Callithrix jacchus: one gene and its partners. The protein of the gene in region 2 purifies or fractionates together with the protein of the main gene of each other region. This does not show direct contact. Links are inferred from orthologs where the notes say so. Each region holds a gene or a part of one and is shown on either strand. Other genes may lie near its edges.

The links. The genes of interacting proteins can lie anywhere in the genome.
Region 1: the proteins of FYN (region 2) and CD36 purify together in Homo sapiens (affinity purification with western blotting; 3 studies listed by BioGRID). This does not show direct contact. The link is inferred for Callithrix jacchus from reciprocal best matches to the Homo sapiens genes FYN and CD36.
Region 3: the proteins of FYN (region 2) and PDGFRB purify together in Homo sapiens (pull-down; 3 studies listed by IntAct, with this or other methods). This does not show direct contact. The link is inferred for Callithrix jacchus from reciprocal best matches to the Homo sapiens genes FYN and PDGFRB.

Annotation. Positions count from the first base shown.
Region 1 is NC_133512.1:69,397,402-69,401,393, forward strand, and holds the start of CD36 (platelet glycoprotein 4), read right to left. Parts: upstream 2,801-3,992; 5' UTR 2,690-2,800; intron 1-2,689.
Region 2 is NC_133505.1:118,102,670-118,106,933, forward strand, and holds the start of FYN (tyrosine-protein kinase Fyn), read right to left. Parts: upstream 2,801-4,264; 5' UTR 2,775-2,800; intron 1-2,774. UniProt on the Homo sapiens protein: Non-receptor tyrosine-protein kinase that plays a role in many biological processes including regulation of cell growth and survival, cell adhesion, integrin-mediated signaling, cytoskeletal remodeling, cell motility, immune response and axon guidance.
Region 3 is NC_133503.1:48,866,781-48,870,763, forward strand, and holds the start of PDGFRB (platelet-derived growth factor receptor beta), read right to left. Parts: upstream 2,801-3,983; 5' UTR 2,362-2,800; intron 1-2,361. UniProt on the Homo sapiens protein: Tyrosine-protein kinase that acts as a cell-surface receptor for homodimeric PDGFB and PDGFD and for heterodimers formed by PDGFA and PDGFB, and plays an essential role in the regulation of embryonic development, cell proliferation, survival, differentiation, chemotaxis and migration.

The DNA.
Region 1 (3,992 bases), on a different chromosome or scaffold from region 2:
CTCTGCATGTCCATTGCCTAATAAGAGAATAACATGCAAGAAAATTTACTGTAAGGAGTATTCAAAAGTATATAATGAACAACTTGGGATTTCTCTGTAAAAACTTCAAGCAAATGTTAACAAAAATATAATCATTTTTATTCTTATCTGTCTACAACTATTTATATAAGAATGACTAAATCACTGATTGAGAGTGAATTAGCTTGTTTTTGTATACTTTGGTTTCCTAAACAAAACTTTGAAATTTTAATTAAATATTATCTTTCATGTGATTCCTTTGCATTTTTCTCTTAGAGATCTAATACTAGTCTGGAGGGTAAGGGTTTTTTATGTTTTTGACGAAAAGCTAAAGAGCATGTTCATAAATATTTTTTGCATTTGTTTACAAAGATAATTTCAACCATGTTTAAGGGATCCAGAGTTGATGAATTGAGGACAGTTAAGACTAGATACAGTCATGTTAATGAAGTAGTTGAACAGAGGAATAAAAACAAATTAAATAATCTGGCAGATCCAATGTGGATTCAGTGGGAAACTCATTAATCATATAATGTTCAAGCTACTATGATGTCCCTTCAAAAACAGAAAACCTAATATTAATCTTTATACAAAAACACCTTCCATAAAGTGTGATTAATTTCCCCATATAAGATTTTTGGTGGCACCATCATGACCTGCTTGGATTGATGTGGATGTGATTCACTTGATGTAATTGGTCAGCAGATTATCTGTCCTTTATAATTGGTATATCATGGCTTATTTGTAGAGAGGCTCTTGGAAAACACCTTTTTTAAGGGTAGTTCATTCATTGAGCACCTTGTTTCTTTCCCAGAGAAATACTTTGTTAACCTATATTAAAACATTTATTACTTTAAAAATATTTATTTTTGTTGCTTATTGTTTAATTTTATTAATTATTACCTTCTTGATTACTCACAACAATCTTGTGAATTTATCTGAATATTTTGAACCACCCATTTATTGGGAAATCAATTTTAAATCTTTAAAACCACTCAAGGAAACAGATTTTCTGTGATTTGCTTTTAGAAATCTCTTTAACAATCATATAATGTTTCAAGTATTCTCATCAATTCATATATCCATCCATTACTCTAATAAGACTTATTGAAGGCCGTGGTGTGCCAGGTTTTAAAAAATAGAATCACTCTACTTGGGAAGACACTCCTCAGGTCAATTCAGGAGACATACAATCTTGCCCAAGCAGTGTGGCAATAATTTTAATGGAATAGAGTGACTTTACCACCATTTACCTTTTATCTTATACATATATGTGTGTATAAACACACACACACACACACACACACACACACACACACACACCACATCCTTTTCTTCATACGAAAGAAGATGTATTTTCAAATCGTGGGAAGAAAAAATAGCTTTCCTTGACCCTTTCTGATTGTCCCTTGAGTAGTAATTCCTATGAAACAAGTAAGACAGTGATTGAATTCAGCTGTGCTAAGTTTTTGGCCTGTGACTGAAGCCTCTCTCTTCCTTTTCGTTCTATTTACAGTTTTAAAATTGCTCAACAATTTGACACTGTTCTTTAAAATTCTGAGAAATGAAAAGTGAAAACGGGGAACAACATAGACAAACATACACAAACAAACGGGGAAACAACATAGACAAACCAACAACATAGAGAAACCAAATAAACAAATTTATTTAATGAGTTAACTTTATAAAAATGCCAAAATAGCTAATTTTTAAAAAGGAATGTGAGACACGGGGATGAATGTGTGGAGAAATCTGAAATCACTTAAATTCTATCAGACATGTGTCAATCTGCCTATTCTGCTCATTAGCAGAATCGGTCCTGATTTGGGAATATCACCTACAGAAGAAGAAAGTCAATGACTAAACTAAAAAAAAATTGAGCAATAGTAGGAGGTGATTTATATTGTCATTTAACACCATGACATAAACTGCATTCTCAGTAGTAAAAAGCATTAACAATAAAATATTGAAAGTAAGACTTTCTCTGTACTTGTGAAAAATAGTCTAGAGAATACTAGCATATCAGTTAGGAAGACAACAATTCCACAAATATCTGGAATAACTGGTATAACAAAACGTTTCAAAAAAATGAGGTCGTAGAATTTGACTGGGATTAATCTAAAAAAATAAAACCTGACAGAAATATAGTAACTTGCAAACAATTTACAAACTGTCATCAAAGTCTGCTGTGAGAAAGACTTCCATTTTCACTAATGCATACGCATTAAAAGACAATATCCTTTCATATGAGTTTATTCTAGATGATCACTGAAAATTTAAATAATCACTTCTTTTGAGAAAAGAGTTAACTAATGCAAAATAGAAATTACTTAGTTTTGTAGAAAAATTGCATTAATGGTAATAGCTTGGAAATCTAAATATTCTGAAACACCCAATTATTTACTTTTGTTCACATAACTGTATATAAATGCATTCCTGTGCAGCAGAAACTGACATAAATGATTATTATCATGTAATTACATTAAATACAGATAATTAATTTGCTTTTTAAATATTCCCCAAAACTCTATCATCAGCATTCTGTGCTCCTCATTCTATGAATACTCTCCATGTAATTGGATTCACGTATAATGTGTCTTAATCCATTCTAGTTGCTATAACAAATACCAAAAACTGGTAGATTCATAAATAACAAACATTTAATCCTCACAGTTCTGAAAGCTGGGGACCTCAAGATCGAGGAACTGGTGGATTTGGTGTCTGGTAAGGCCAATTCCTCTTAAAAGATCCCTTCTTGCTGTGTCTTCACCTCGTAATAGAGGCAAAGAATCACTCCGGAGCCTCTTTTGTAAGGGCACTAAGGCCATTCATGAACACTCCACCCTCATGATCTAAATACCTCCCAAGTTTCCAACTCCAAATACTCTTGGCTTTGGGGATTAGGTTTCAACATATAAATTTTGGGGTAAATAAATATTTAGACTATACCAGTGAGCAAGAACTAAATCATTATTTCAAGTCACTGAGTTTTGGCATTGTTTGTTAATACAAGTACAACTTGTTTTAGTTTGACAGATGCAGAGCCATATGATTCTATTAAATCCATAATTTCAAGAGAAAAACATTCCAAAAACATAATGTTCATATCTTAGAACTATGTTTAACCACATTCAAAGCAACAATTTTATTTTTTCAAGAGAATAAAAAGAATACTCATTCCAACACAGAAAACACTCATTCATTAACAAATTTTGAATCTCCTCTGATATGTCAGGGATTATGTCAAGACTTACCACTACAATGGTGAATAATAATTAACATTCTAGTCCTTTTGGAGCCTAAGTTTGAAGAGTTGAAAATTAAATTACTCAGTTTTATGTATTAATGAATGTTATTAGCAAGGTAAGCCAAGAGTTTTAGGGGAAAACCTAAGAGAATATGTGAAATAGTCTAGGGTAGTAGAGAGTGTTTTAAATTTTTATTTTAAGAGAATAAGAAGTCAAAGTTGCCACTTGAAAGATTAGAAAGAGCTGTCCAAATTGGAGGAATTTAAGGCAGCAAGGAAGTACAAGGCATAGGAACAGTTTTTGCAGTATCCTAGAGTGCAGAGTAAAATGTCTGTCTGTGAGGCGAAGATGCTTGGTATGACTAGAGAGGGAGTGTGGTATTAGAATTTCCTAATAGTGTCACAACAGCATACTTACAGAGAATTCTAAGTCCTCAGTCAACCCTGCAAGAAGCTTTGGGACAGTGACCTGAATAGAGACTAGAAGTTATGCAAGAACAGGATAATGCAATATGTAATATGAGGTCAATAGCTGCCATTGCTTGTTGAATTGAATAGCCAAGTCAAGCAAGCTTTCGACCTGGCAGCCTGAGTGAATGACTGCGTATATGTGTGTGTTTGTGTGTGACTCCCCCAGGGCATGTGTCTGAACAGGTGCAGTTAACTTATATTATTCTTTACTTGGGAGTTACTTGGAAAACTCTCAATGCAAGCAAAACCATAGATG
Region 2 (4,264 bases):
TGCTATTAAGTCATTGCATAGATAACGACTCAACCACAATGACAGCTTTGAAGCATCCCTGGCAATAGGGGAACCCCATTCCAGACTGGGTCTGTAGGGAAGTGTCAAGGAAGACCTCTCAAAAAAGTAACAAACACTGCTTTCTTAGAATTTACAAAACTTTAAAACATAAGGGACACAAATATATTGTTTCAAACATTATATACATTCCAAAGTGTAAGGTGGGGTATGGGAAGGGAAAAGCTCTGGCCCAGACAGATCTGAGTAGAATACTTACTATCACTACAGTACCTCGAGCCACTCATGGCTCCCTCACAGGACTGCTGTCATGGTGAAGTGTAACAGAGATGATATAAAGCACTCTCCATAGCAGAAGTTCAATAAACCATGGATACTAATTAATACAGAATGAAGACTAACTTGTCTTTGAGCTTTAACATGTCCAAATAAAGCTGATTTTCCACATAGGGTTCTGTCTCTACAAAAATATTCAACTAAAAGGGGAAACTTAAAAATCCATTTGAAGAACAAACGCTGTGACTTTGGTAATTTTTCTCCACCGGGGTTAGCCAACAGGTATCATTTACTTATACAATGGATGTACATCCTATATTAGATTCTTCTGGATAGGTAAACACAGACAAAAAGATAAGCTGATGTATCCATGTTCAACAGTGTTCTACCAGCAACAGGAAAAGGTTCTGAAAGTGGAACTTCTAGAAAAGAACTGTTAAAACAGCAAACTCCTCTAAGGCAATGACTGTTTCTCAGGTCAGTAACCACTTGACTGAGAAGAGTGTGCAGGCGGACCCCTTTAGACTCATTCCGTCCAAGCGGCATTTCTACTCCTGTGTAGCTTCTTACTTTGGGTTCCCTGAGCACTTACAGACACCTGCACGATGGGGTCAGTCACCCATGTTCACTCTTTTGTAGACACTCATTGCTCCCTCAGTCCCAATCCATAACTGGCCTTATCTAGCATTCTTTAGAGTGGTGGCCAACAGCTCTTTTTTCCATTTTAATTCAAGACCCAAGTCAGAAAACAAACAAAAAAACATATTTGGTTTGTGTTTTTAAATTTAAAAATGAGTAAATTTACTTGGTCCTGGGGAAGGGACTGCTTTACTGATAAGATAAATGAGACTTGGAGAGGAGAAATGATTTGTCTAAGGTCGAAAAGCAATTTAACAGCAGAAGTGAAGCAAACTTTAACACTATTCCATTCAGTGCCCCCACACTCCACTAACTGAGCCCTGCTGTTTGCCTGGCATGGGGCCAGGACAGGGAATCCAAATGAATGGACTCCCCCATCCTGTGGTTGCAGGATTCACTGCCTGAGTTAGACAGAGCAGGGCACGTCCTGCAGTCTGGGGCAACCCCCAGGCATTTCTTTGGGCTCCCCTGAACAACACTGCCCTGAGGGGGCTCCTGGCACCCACAGGCTCTTGCCTGCTGTGGACCTGGCCTAGTCCAGAAGGGTCACTGTGTACTGACCTCCCATGGGGGCAGCGTTTGCCAATCCCTGGCTTCCACAGTCAAAATCTGAGTGCATGTGGATTCTAAAAAGGCTCCTTCTGCCTAGTCCTAACTAGAGCTGCTTAATTTCCCCAAGTCCCCCTGGTTTCTATGAGCTGAAAAGCCCATGACTAGCAGATCACAGGCTGTCCTGCAGAAGCTAGGTGCCTGCATGGGGTCAAAGGTCAGGAGTTACTCACCATTGTTCCAGAACAATGTTTCAGGTAGTACACTTCCCTAACTTACAGACAAACTGGCTGCTTTCAGAATGGCTCTAGTTTAGGAAGAAAAGCCTCTTTTGCACTCAAATCAAGAGGAGAAATAACCCCAAGTCATTCTGAGATGATGAAGGGGCAGCCCCAAAGTGGCCAGGGAATTGAGGAACATAACTCAGAACAGCTGAAAAGTTACACCCAAGGCAATGTGGTTGGGCAGAGTAGTGGGGGCTGAAAAGGAAGCCTGGGTGGCTAGCGAGAGCTGCAAGGTTCAGCCTTTCACTGGGGAACTCAAGGTGCCTGGGAGATAGAAGTACAGGCAGAGAAGGCTTAGCAAACATTCAGAGAAAGAATGCATTCACAGCTCCTTCTCACACCCCCTCCATCTCAGTTTTTCTGGATAGCTCAGCCCTCAGTCAGAGCTTCAAAGCCCCTTCTGCACAGCTCTCTCAGGTTGTACCACAATTACCTGAGTACTAGTTAGTCACATTCACTTTTGTCTCAACAGAGTCCAGCATGATGTCTAACACCCAGTGGGAACCAAAAAATGTTAAGTTAATGAAGGAATGACCTGCTACACAGTGGCTGCAATCAAAGATACCACTCAGGCAGAGGTGAGCAGCAGCCATCTGAGAGTAGAGGAAAAACAACGATGAATGGACTGAAGATGACCTCCTTGACCAGCCTGAGGACAGGTGCTCCCCATTCCCCCCCAGCACGAAGGCTCCTCAGCCATGGGACAGCTGTTCCATTCTATTTCTGTGGTGGGAGCCATAACTTATAGTCAAAACATATGTTCCCATAAATTACCAGAATTGAGTGTTACAACTAAGGGAAGGCAGAAAATAGTGGGTCCGCTAAGGAAGATAAGATTTTCTTTCTATTTCACATACCAGTTCCATCTCCAATTCAACCTCTCTCTCAGAAATCTATGGACTCAGAATTATAATCCCACACTGAAAGTGGACTTCATCCTGGGTTCCAACAGGAAGCCCTTTCCAATTCACAAGGCACATGCTCTCAGTGCAAAACTTGCCAACTTACTTTTTCCACGTCTAGATCAGCATCCTGTTTCTTCAAAAAAACTGTAGAAGAAGAAAAAAAATAGTGAGACATCAAAAGGGAACCAAGTACTCTCTGCCTACAAACCACCCACAAAGCACCACCATAGAATTTCCATTTGTTGCAGACAATCAATTTGGCCACAAATTTTTTTCTCATTCACACAATTGCTAAGTCACAGTTGCCACAAACACCTGCCTGAAACTGCAAAGACCTGGTCTTATACCACCAAAAGAAGCTATCATGTGATTTTAACTTTCTGGAACCAAGAAAGATAAGGATGGTGACCTTGTGTACACACACCACACAAACACACACTTCCCTTTTTCAGAGTCTCTACAAGTCATCCATGGTTGGGGCACAAACTGAGTCTTCCAAGGGCTTTCTCAGTTTATCTCTTGTATTAAAATACCCCAGCACCCAGCCCATACCTTTCCCACTTCCTATCTGACTGTGAGTGGGCCTCACTGTCAAAAAAGCCCTTTGGGGATGGCCCCTGGTTCCCATCAGCTGGGGTTCCCCTCTGCAGGAGGTTTGCCAACCCACCAGCCTGCACTAACTTATCCATGGAACTCCACCTCCGGGATTACCTTAGAACCTTGTGTGCCAAACCCCTGGCAAGGCTGACTGCTGGTTCTGATGACACCCATGCATGCTTCACATTAATCTTTATAGTGCCAGGAACAGGATGGCAGCTTTCCAGTTTGCTCACATACTCTGCCTACAAACAGTCAATATTATGGTACTTCATGTATTATTTGCAATTTTAGCTGAATAAAGCTGCAGTTTTAATAAGGTATATAAAGAGAACAATAAAATAGTTGAATGGAATTATGTTTACAACAATGTGTTAGGGCAGAAAGTGAGAGCTTTATGAAATACGAAAAAAAGGCAGAAACAATTTTTGCTATCTTAGTAGAGACTCTTAAGCTTTTCAGTGTCTCTCAGTATGTTCATGATGGACAATTTAAAACACCCCCATTATAAATTACTATTCCCATCAAAACCACCAACCCCCACCACACACACACAAGAATTTTTGCACTGTTTGGAAAGATGTATAATTAACAGTAACGTCTTTGTTTTGTTTAATGAAAGATGACTCACAATGAAGAAAAGAAAAAATGATGATGGGGAAGAGAATTTGAAACTCATATATTTTTTTCTGCAAATGGGCATTCAAATCATGAACTCACTGCAGACAAGCAAGAGAACCACCGTGGAGGTGAGAGAGAATGTGCTGATCAGCAAGCCACTGCAGCTCATGCCTTAGCAACCCACGGCATCCCATCTCTTCCTGAGTTCTGAGACATGCTGTCCTGTCCTATGGAGAAACCACCAGGCAAGATACGCCTTTTCTTTTAGCTAACCCACTGGGGATCTGCTGAGCTATATAAAATGAGAATTCTTTGCCAGAAATTTTAACTTGCTGCCCTATAATCAGGAAAGAATAAATCAACACTATAAGAACT
Region 3 (3,983 bases), on a different chromosome or scaffold from region 2:
GCCTCCCAGCTGTGGAAGCAGCTCAGAGATGGGATGTAAGGGGTGTGAGGTCGGTCACACTGTGGATTTGAGTCGAGCCAGGGCAAGCACTGGGTCTCCTGACTCTTGGTCCACGGTGCTTTCTGCTGCCCGCCCCACATCTGTGGGCAACTACAAGTCCCAGCTCTTCTTCCCACAGAGGAGGGGGGCTGCTGATAACTGCTGTCTGGGAGAAGGGTGCTAACCAGATGGTTTCCTTCCTCTCTCAGGACCAAGCCAGGGCCTGGGCGGACCTTGGATCAGTCAGACCTGAGGCTGCACTTTTGCTGGGGAAGGTGCTGAAGCCAGGAGCAGGCTCTGCAGGAGGATGGAGATTCTTCCCTCTGACTGGGAGCTTCCCAGGGAGCACAAGGCCCCTTTAGGGCCAGAATGACTTCAGCCTAAACACCACCTCAACCCACTGTGTGGCCCTGGCAGAGTCACCTGACCTCTCCAGACCTCAGCTTCCTCATCTACAAGGAGATCATAACACTGATTTCAAAAACTTGCCATGAGGATTCCAAGGTGTGGGAGGTGCCAGGCTCTATGCCTGCATGGGCTAGGTGTTCAGGGACAGGGACCACTGTGACTGTATGGTCCTGAATGCTGTGAATTCAGGGTCTCCTGCTTGGACCCTGAATTCACAGCATTCAGGAACATACAGTCTCGGTGGTGGACTGCATGACTTCAGAACTTGTCACTAGAGGCCTCTGTGCTCTCAGGGGGTCACAGAGGGAAGCAGAGATACTCCTCCCTGCTTGCAATGGAGAAATGCCACCTGGAGGAGCCACACGATGTCCTGCAGGGGCACCTGAAGCGAAGGCTGGGGGGCTGGTCTAGTCTCACACTTGGGAGCAGGTCTTCAGTGAGCTCCTCTTCCCTTTCACCAGGACGTCTCAGCCCCACTGCCTACCCAGGGCTGGGCACTGGGGGCAGAGCACAGGATGGTAAAACCTTTCCCCAGCAGAAAGTGCAGCCTCAGGTCTGACTGCTGGGGCCTGAACAATCTCCGATGAACAAACAAAACACAAACAGATCACTCACAGGAGAGGGCCAAGTGGCAGGGCTTCAGCACAAAATGCATGGCTAGCACTTGGAAGATAGGAAGAACCTGGGAAGGCTGCCTGGAAGAGGTGGAGTACAGAATACCCCTGAAAGAAAAGTGTTGAGGAAGGGCATTCCAGGAAGGGAGAAAAGAGGGGGGCAAATGCCCACAAGCAGGATAGTACACATTCCTTCTGGGAATGCTGGGATCTGACTGGAGGGAACAAAAGGCCCAAGTTTGGAGTAATGGGGCACAAGCAGTTTCCAACCTCTCCAGGCTGTACCACTTTCTAGATGTGTGGCTAGTTATGTGCCGCGTGAGCCTCAGTTTCCTCATGTATAAAGTGGAGGTAAAAACAGTCGCTGCCTCTGGGGTTGCTGGTGAGCATGACATGATATCAGCCTCATAAAGCACTCAGCGCAGTCGCGGCGTGCAGTAAGTATCAATCAGTGGCAGCCTCTGTTTGGAGCTGGGATTTTCTCCAGGCACTGGGGAGCCACAGGCGGATCCTGGGCAGGAGGTGGTGTGATCAGATTTATGCTTTAGAATGGCATGGAGAAGGGGTAGAGTCCAGAAGGAGGGAGACAAAGAGGAGGTCTGAGCAGCTGCCTGGGGCCAAAGGAAATGGCCAGTGGCTGACCCCTACTTCACAGAGGAGTCCCCAGATCTGATGGCCAGGTCCCAGACCCCAGACCCCAGCCCCAGCAGCATGACCACTAGGGGGTTGCCATGGCCCCCCATCGCCCTCAAACTTTCCTAGCCCTCAAACTTTTCTAGCTGCTGGGGGTTTAGAAGGATATCTTAGGAATCTAGAAAATTTGCAAATCCATTTAAATCTCCAAAGGTTGCCTGGCGGCTGACTGGCCTAAAGCCAGACTGACTCTTAGAAACACAGCTTGGGCCACGAACTGGAGAACTGGAACTGCGGAGTGGGTCCTGCGGTCCTCGTCCCCTGCTTTCGGTGTACCTGCCTATCTTCTCCCAATTCCCCTCTCCTGCCAACCCCCCCATTGACTGTGCTGTGATTTGGAGGCCCCCACTCAGCACTCAGAAACCCCTGGGGATTGTTTTATGAAGGCAGGAGCAGCAGGGATGATGAGGTGGAGGCCCCTCACCCCAGAGCAGGGGAAAGGAGAGAACTGGCTCCTCCAGCCCTGACATCACCCACAGTCTCCCAGTCTCCTCTCATCCGGTTTTCTTCAAAATATATTCCATTTGTTTTACCTACTCAAAGAGACACAGGCTAGGGCAAAGGGACAGGGCATGGGGCTAGGGTTCCCACCCCTCCCAGCACTTACCTTGCTGCCGATGGCTTCTGGTGTGGGCACAGTTCCAGGCTCTGGACAGTCACCCCCTCCAGGAAGTCCTCCTTACTGCTGTCTCCCCGTTATCAGAAAGACTGCTGGTTCCAGAGTGTGTAATAGCTGGGTAGAAGGACAGGCAGGACCGTTGCAGGCTCCTGAAGGCTCAGGAGAAGGAAGGGACGGAGGGAGAGGGCTGCTGCAGGGGTGAGGAGCAGCCCAGCTTCGCCTCACTCCCCAAGCATCCTCCAGGAGGAGCAGAGCTGCCAGAGGGGCCGCCCTGAGTCTGGCTGTCTGTGTTGGGCAGGGCGGGCACAGGCTGCTGCTGGGCAGCTGGGCTGAGGGGCTGGCTCTCTCCTCCTCCTCGTTGATCTCCTCTCTGGCTCCAAGTTGCTCACAGAGCGATCCTGGGTCCCAGATAGGGCGGGCGGTCACTGCTGGTTGCTGGCAGCCCCAGAAACTCACACCACCGTGGGCTTTCCCGCCCGCCCCCTCCCCCTCGCCACTTTGGGGGAAAGGCTGCAGGGTGGCTTCTGATTGGCCCAGCTGGGGAGAAGGGGGGCAGTGGGGCAGGGAGGGTGAACGCGTGCGTCTGTTTTCAATTTCAGTTTTTTTCCCCTCTCTTTCTTTTCCCCCAAGTTTCTTGTTTTTCTTCTTTTCCCTCTGCTTGCCTCCCTCTCGTCGCCCGTTCTCTCAGGATGTGAGGGGATGCTTAGAAATTCCACAGCCCACGCCAGCCACCAGTAGCTGAGTCACTTTTATCAAAGAGTGGCCTGGGCCCCACTTGCCCAATGCCCATCTTGGGTGGTGGCCTCCCCTTTTCATGACACCCAGGGGAGAGTCATTTCTCAGTGCCTCGGTTTCCCCATCTATAAAGGAGATTCTGATCATCTCTGTGGTTGATTCAGTCAACATTCATTCATTGAGCAAGCATACTGAGCACTTATTACCTTCCAATACTGTACTGAGTGCCAGGACACAGTAGTAAGACATGGTCCTGACCTCAAGCACCCAGGCTAGTGAGTGAGACATTCAGTGGGCAAGCAGGTACCCGGTGGGCAGACAGAAAGCTGAGAGTGCATTTAGAGGGACTCCTAATGGAGGCCTGAGAGAATCAGAGAGCACTGCTGAGAAGAGGTGGCATGGAAGAGATGGAAAGATCCTCCAAGCTGATCAGTCATTTTTCAGAAGGAAAAACCAAGGCCCAGGGGTGAATTGGCACAGAGAGAGAATGTGATTTGGTCAAGGTCACCCAGCACAGATTGGATATATCCGGATATTGACAGACATATTCCTTTTTGAATCTCAAAGCCCCTTGGGTGCAAGGAGAGGATTATTTACCCCATTTTATAGAAGGGGACACTGAGTCCCAGAGGAGCAAAATAAGCTTTCCAAGCGCACACAGCAATGGCAGAGCTGGGGCAGAACTAGATCTCATGAGTCACATGATAGAAGGGACACAATTCATCTGACCCCCACCCAAGACTCCCCGATTCCAGTGTAGATGAGCCCCCAGCCCTGCTTTCTTCCTAGGTTCCCCCTGTGGCTCTTTCCTTCAGTCACTCAACAAGATAATTTCAAGTATCTGTTTTGTTCCATTTCCATTCTCTGGCTCTCCT